Sus scrofa: one gene and its partner. The main gene of each other region encodes a partner of the protein of the gene in region 2 in a complex. Links are inferred from orthologs where the notes say so. Each region holds a gene or a part of one and is shown on either strand. Other genes may lie near its edges.

Region 1 (3,654 bases), on a different chromosome or scaffold from region 2:
TATCTGGGACCATAGCCTGGTCTCGTGCCTCCTTCCCAATCTTACTCCCTTGCCGCCGCCGCCGCCGAGACGCTGCTGCTTCCTGTCTGTTTACCCCCCTCCCCCTTTCTACTGACCAAGCATCATCCAAATAGTACACAACTTCCATTCTTTATCGGTTCTGAATTTTCCCATCATTTCCCCACAAACTTCACATTTACGTCTCTAAGAACACCGGCCGTCTAAAGTTCGAATGGCGCTGCTGTGGCTGGACGGAGAGTTACGCCCTCGCTTTTCATTTTTCCTTCTTTGAGAACTCAAACTGCTCAAAAAGTCACTTCATAAAGCAACAATTTAACCCCCCCACTTCTATCCCACAAGAAGGAATTTTTAATTAGACGCCAGAGGGTGAGCAATTTGGAGAAGCGTCAACGCAAGCGTTTTAGAAAAGCCAGCTCAGAATAACGTTGCGACGGTCGCAGCGGCACAAGGAGAAACTTGTTCATAGGTACGTTCAACCGCCGACTGACTGACGTCTCAAAAGCCATCTTAGGTCCTCTGGCGAATACACACAGCATTTCCAAGGTAAACCACACAGCCCTTCTATCCTGGGAACGAACAGTTCTTTGAAGGGCGACACAGCACTGTGGAGACACAGGCCAAGAAGCCTCCAGCACATCTGTTACGTGGCAAAGGCAAAGGCCTTTGGGGAACTGTTCTTAATTCGTATTTCAATTTACGGAGGTTTCCAAAGCCACCGCTGCCAAGTGGGAGAGGTGAGGATGGCTGCCTTGGGATTGAAAGGAAGCAGAGGGAGGCCGCTGCCTCCAGGTTGGCTGCTAGGATGTGTCCTGCCCCGGTGGCGGGCGCTCCCTGACCCCGGCGGGCTCGCCAAACGCCCCGCTTACTGTGCAGCCGGCCGCCTGCAAGCTTTACAGCTACAGAGGCGCCACTGCAGAACCCCAGCTTCTCACTGGTAGAAAGGGCCTCCAGACCTGATTCAATCCGGGGTAAACGAGCAGGACGCCAGCGCGGCTTCTCAAGAAGGACCGATGAGCTTTGCCAGAGCCAGCAGCCGGGGGGGGGGGGGGGGGGGGGGGGGCAGCCGGGGGGGGGGGGCGGCCGGGCCTGGGCCCAGCACACCGTGGGGAGTGCTGGGTTAGGTGGTCGCTGCGGCAACCTTCCCTCTTCCTGGGCTACACTCAGACGGGGATGCAGATGGCAGACAGCACGGGCTGGGCAAGACAGCTGAAGGCCAGACCTGCTGCCGTTAAAGGAACTCTGCGGCAGGGCGCCAAGACCCCACGAGGGGAGAGAGGGAGGAGACGGAACACCAAGGCCCCCCGGGGGCAGGGGATGCAGCGGGGCAGGGACCCAGCGAGACGAGGCACACACGGGATCCTAAACAGCAGATGGCCCTGCCGTCAGAGCCCACAGGCGGGATTCCCTCGGGGCCAGGGCCTTCTGCCGGGAGGGGGGAGGACAAGCCACGAGGGGACGGGTTGAGTCAGCAAATACGCTGGAGCCCCACGTGCAAAATACCGGGAACCTGCGGCTCACCCCTCGGTTACCTAGAAAACCCGCTGACTGCGCGGCAGCCACTCCCCTTCTCTAGAGAACTCTCTGTGCTGCTTTCCGACCCAGCGAGGTGGCGGGGTGGGAGGGTGTCCGTCCCCGGGGGGGCCTCCTTCAGTCCCCAGAGGAAGGACGCTCTCAGGATGCCGGGCCGAGGCTGGCGCACAGAAACGCCGATCCCACCTGCAGCCTGGGTGCCAGGAGTCACAGCTGCCGGGCAGTGAGCTGGCCTCCCTCGGGGTTCACCAGTGTAGGCCTGCCTGGCGACCGTAACACCGGAACCTCGTCACACAGTTCGCTACCGCGCCACGTCCAATGCCTACGCGGACACTCCACCAATAAGATGACACGTGTCACAGGAACTCAGGCGGCCTCCTGCCACTGGCCTTTCAGACGGTTCAGCTCCTTTGCAATGACACCCCTCCCTCGGAGGGGTGTCCCCAAAGCCGGGGGTCTGCAGGCAGTGAGACCATCTCCTTCCAAAGAACGCCGAAGGGTGGGCTTCCGGGTGGAAGGAGATGCACACTGGACGTGCGTCCTACAACTTAACAGAGTCTGTGCCAAATTCCAGCCCCTCAGGGCTGCCTGGGCAGGCCACCGTCCCGCACTGGAACACACACAAATACCTCGACGGTGGAGGCGAAAATCGCTTTACATCTTTGATTACTGGTGCGATTGAGCTTTTTAATACTGCTATTTACTATATGTAACATTTGCATGCTTTTATGATTTATTATCTTGAGGGCCCATTCTCTTTGTTTAATTGAATCTATGAGACTCTTTCTACATCAAGTATATTATATAAAATGCAAACGTATTTTTCCATATCTAAAAAAAAGGAATGGGGGTTTGTCATTTACTGGTGCTCCCGTGTCACAAACACACTGACCACACGAGGTGCAGAACTACTCCAGAGAGAAAGACAGTGACACGACTGCCTGGCTGGCAGGTACTTCTCCGACTCTGATTCGTGCCTTAAATACACTGTGTCCGAGAAACCAGCCAGGTTCCAAACTACCTAGTGACAATGCAACACAGACCCTCGCCGTCAGAACCTTAGCAGCTGCTGAGAAACGGGTTTTCCACCCACAGAGCTAGGACATTGGAACATCCTAAGAGGCTGAGAGGAACAGGGCTTCACGGAGAAGCAGCCCAGCCCGGTCGGCCGGCCAGCAGCGGGACCCGGCTCTCACCTGGATGTTGTCGAACTTGAGGCCGGGCATGGTGAGGTCCTCCTTGTCCACGAAGACGGCGCTGTACTGCTGGGTGGCCACGGAGACGAGCACGCTCCGGGTGGCCTCCCCGGGGAGCCAGGCGTCGCTCCTCCGGTCCATCTCGCTCATGCTCAGGGCGGTGGCAAAGGGGTCCTCGCTGCCGGCAAACACGGCCTGGATCTGCGAGAACGGTTTTGGGGATGGAGGGATCTCCGGGGCGCCTGTGGCGACGGCGGGCTCCGGGTGGCGGGCGGGCTCGGCGGGGCCTGGGGCGGTCTCGCCCATCGGGGTGGCCGCCAGCGAAACCGGGGAGCCGGCGTTGGGGTTACTGACCGAGATGAAGGTGGACGTGGTGAACGAATCGAAGAAGTCCGAGGCCAGGGAGCTGGGGCCCGCGGCGTCGCCAAAAAACTTACTCAGGCTGGGGCTGGGCTGGACGCCCTGGGCCGGGGCCCGTGCTGCCGCCTCGCTGGCGCCGCCGAAGCTCGGCGATTTCACCATCTGCGACTGGAAGCCGTCGCGCTGGGAGCCGGGCGGCCGGCTGAAGATGGTGCACACGGGCACCGGCTCGTCCCTGGGGGAGGGCTGCCGGGGGGCCTCGCCGGCCGCCGCGTCCCCCGGGGGCGCCCTCTCGTCCCCCCCGGGGCCCGAGGCCTCGGCACCCGCGCCGCCGGGCTCCAAGGCGGGTGGCTCTCTCCCTTCTGGCTCGGGGTCTTTCTCCCCCGAGGGCGCCCGGCCGTCGGGGGGCCCGGGGGAGGCGCCTTCGGGCGCGTCCTCTCCGGCGCTCCCACTGTCGTCGCTCAGCGCGCCGGCACCCGAGGCCAGGCCGCGGTCTGCGCCGCCCCCCGCGGGCTCCCCGGCGTCGTCCTCGCTGCTGTTGGGCGAG
Region 2 (3,654 bases):
CAAAACAAAACAAGCTGTTGAGATCTTGAAGGAAACTGCACTGAATCTAAAGAATAATTTACAGTATTAAATCTTATCCAAATCCTATCAGAGACTCTTTGGTATCTCTGACATTTACTTAGGTCTTTCTTTAATGTTTAACATTTTTTTTTTTTTTTGTCTTTTGTCCTTTTAGGGCTGAACCCGTGGCATATGGAGGTTCCCAGGCTAGGGGTCTAATTGGAGCTGTTGCTGCCAGCCTACACCAGAGCCACAGCAACGCCAGATCCAAGCCACGCCTGCGATCTACACCACAGCTCAAGGCAACACCAGATCCTTAACCCATTGAGCGAGGCCAGGGATCGATCCCACAACCTCATGGTTCCTAGTCGGATTCCTTTCTGCTGTGCCATGATGGGAACTCCCTAATGTTTTAAATTTTTATAACTTTTTTCCATAAAGGTAATGCATATTTTCTATTAGATACATATTAGATACATTCCCACATATTTTTACATAAATACCTATTTTAAAAGTACTTTGCCTAGAGGTTTATTATGATATATAGAAACCCAGCTGATTTTTGTGTACTAATGTTATATCCAGCAACCTTGCTGAAACTCTTTATAATTCTAATAATTTGTTGACTCCCTTGAATTTTCTATGTAAATAATCCTATTGGACCGCAAATAAGGGAAGTTTCTCCTAATACTTTTAGTGGTCCTATCATCAGAATTAAGTTGGCTAAATCACAAATTAACAAATACAAATGAAAGTTTAATTATCCTTTTAAATCTCTGTGCATTTGACAAATGGTCAGTGACAGCCTGTGACTTCTAGTCTGCCCTCCAGGCTGTCAGAAGCTCTCAACTATTAAATGACAATGACACATGATGAAGGCATTAGAATAACAGAAAATGAAGAAAAGATAGGGCTGATATAATTTTACCTCTTCCAGGAGATAACATAATGCCCAGTTGCTACTCCACCTTCAACATTTCCAACAGAGGGGCACCGAAGACAAAAGCACTCACTTGCGCTCTCTCCAGTCTGCAAGACAACTAAAAGAAAGAGTCTTCATAATCCTCATGCAATGACTTCATTCATGAAAAGAGAGCTTTACATCCAAGCAATGTAACAACAAAAAGAGAGTACCTTATCAATTATACATTATTTATAGAGACCTGGAAACTAAGGCGAAGAGATGGTTAATGACTTTTTCAAGGAGCTAGATAAACAGAGCAAACAAAACAACTCTTTATATTTGGTCTTTAAGAATACATCATGAGAAACAGACTCACAGATTTTGGAAACAAACTTATGGTTACCAGAGGGGAAACGTGGTGGGGAGGGATAAATTAGGAGTTTGGAACTAACATTTACACACTACTATATATAAAATAGATAATCAACAAGGACCTACTGTATAGCATAGGGAACTCTACTCACTATTCTGTAATAACCTATATGGGAAAAGAATCTGAAAAAGAATGGATACGTGTATATGTATAACTGAATCACTTTGCTGGGTATACCTAAAACTAACACAAAGCAACTATACTCCAATAAAATAATATAATGAAAATAACAATACACAACTTTTTTTTCCCTTCCCAATATTTGCCCTTATAATCTATTTGAGAATAATTCTGCTTGGGTTAACCTTCAAACTAATTTTCATTCCCTCTAACAGCTTAAGAAATATACAAAAGCCCAAAGTATCCCGGACTGGAAAGGTAATATCTCTTCTATAAACTGTTTTAGTTGGATAACTTAAAGATCGATAATCTACTTTTCTATATTTTCCATAGTTTCTTTGATAAACATCTTTTCCCATTTCATATTATAAACAATAGTACATGTCAATTAAAAATTAATTAGAATTTTAATGAGAATGGACTTATCTACAAAAAACACACCAAATATGAAAACTTTTGTTTCAGGTACATCTTTCAGAGTTAACTTTTTTTTGAAAGAATCTGTTCTTTTAAAATTACCAAGGTATACTCAAGCAAATTGTAAGTGATGCTAATTCTATCTTAATTCTACATGTATTTGCTTTTGTGGGTATAAGTTTCAAGTTCCCTCCCTTAGCAACAAGCAAGGCCGGCCAGCACCCCGCCCCCCACTGCAAAAAACACAAGTGGGAGTTCCTGCCGTGGCTCAGTGGTTAACGAATCCGACTAGGAACCATGAGGTTGCGGGTTTGATCCCTGGCCTCACTCTGTGGGTTAGAGATCCGGCGTTGCCGTGAGCTGTGATGTAGGTTGCAGACGTAGCTCGGATCCCGAGTTGCTGTGGCTCTGGTGTAGGCCGGTGGCTACAGCTCTGATTAGACCCCTAGCCTGGGAACCTCCATGTGCCGCAGGAGCGGCCCAAAGAAAAGGCAAAAAGACCAAAAAAAAAACACAAGTGGGATGATCCACACCTTTGTCCACTTGGGATTCCAGCTGGTCCACAGGAGTCATGGAAGGAGCAAGCTGCAGCTCACTAGAGATGATGGTGAGGGCCCATGGGGAGGCACTCAACAGGTCTGTCATCAACAGGAATGGGATATCGGCATAAACCCGTTCCAGGTGTTCAAACTGTGGCAGATGGAGACAAAGGTCTATCAGGAAGTACACTAATCCATTTTCTTTTTTCTGTTACTTTCTATAGCCCAGATGACTTCCAATAAGCTTCACGGAACATACCTTCGTAGAAACAAATTTCACTGCAACATCAAATGGAAAGACAGTTTCTATTGTTACAGTTTCATCCTGCAAGGCAATGTAAAGGGCACATTCAATAGCTTTTCCTAATCTTAAGAATAATACAGTTTTAAAAAGAGAAGGCATACAAGATACAACTGATTACTGATCAATAAATAATTCCAATTTATACATCAAGAAGCTAGAATCTTTCTTTCCTTTAGATAGTATAAAAAAATCTAGGTAGAGACAGATTAATATTTCTAACAAGTTATCTATGGTTGTAAAACCATTTATATTGCAAAGTGCTTTCTCATCCATTATTTTTGTCAGGATCTAGTAAGAGCGGGCAGGGCAGGCACTGTCACCATTTTACAAATGAGGAGCCAGAGGTTAAGGAAGATAAGTGAACAGTTTTAAGCCATGAAGCTAGTGGAGTGAAGCCTAGAATCTGGGCCTTCTTTCTGTCTAAGTCTTTTACCTCACTTCAACTCAAGACGACTAAAACAATGATAATGATAATAACAGCAATATTATAATTGACACAGCATCATAATCACTGGAGATGAAGTGGTCACAGAGCTAGTAGGGAACCAAGGCAGAAACTGAACCGAATCTGACCCTGGAGTCTGGTCTCTTAACCAACCTACTCCACCTCCTCTGCAAGAGTCTGTTGAAAAAATAGTGTGCTGCTTCTATCTTTAAACAAAAAGCAACACATCCTGTTGGTGAGAAACCTTTTAAAAAGATCATGTTAGTTAAAAATTCATGCTGAGACCAGATAGGTCTGGGTTTTAATCCTGGCTGGATACAAACCTTGAGAAGGTTATATGGTTGCTTTCAGTCTCAGTTTCATAAACCTCACAGGGATGTTACAATTAAATGAGATAATGTACACAAAGCACTCAGTGAAATTCCTACATCATTTTCACTATTATTAAATGCTTCAAATTATTTCCTTTATCAATTATCAAGCTAACTTTTC

Evidence for each region. The genes of interacting proteins can lie anywhere in the genome.
Region 1: TRAPPC11 (region 2) and TRAPPC12 share a complex: the UniProt entries of both Homo sapiens proteins name them as parts of the multisubunit TRAPP (transport protein particle) complex. The link is inferred for Sus scrofa from reciprocal best matches to the Homo sapiens genes TRAPPC11 and TRAPPC12.

The regions. Positions count from the first base shown.
Region 1 is NC_010445.4:131,351,428-131,355,081, forward strand, and holds part of TRAPPC12 (trafficking protein particle complex subunit 12), read right to left. Parts: coding exon 2,748-3,654; intron 1-2,747. UniProt on the Homo sapiens protein: Component of the TRAPP complex, which is involved in endoplasmic reticulum to Golgi apparatus trafficking at a very early stage.
Region 2 is NC_010457.5:45,024,965-45,028,618, reverse strand, and holds part of TRAPPC11 (trafficking protein particle complex subunit 11), read right to left. Parts: intron 2,739-3,654; coding exon 2,673-2,738; intron 2,565-2,672; coding exon 2,408-2,564; intron 1,041-2,407; coding exon 929-1,040; intron 1-928. UniProt on the Homo sapiens protein: Involved in endoplasmic reticulum to Golgi apparatus trafficking at a very early stage.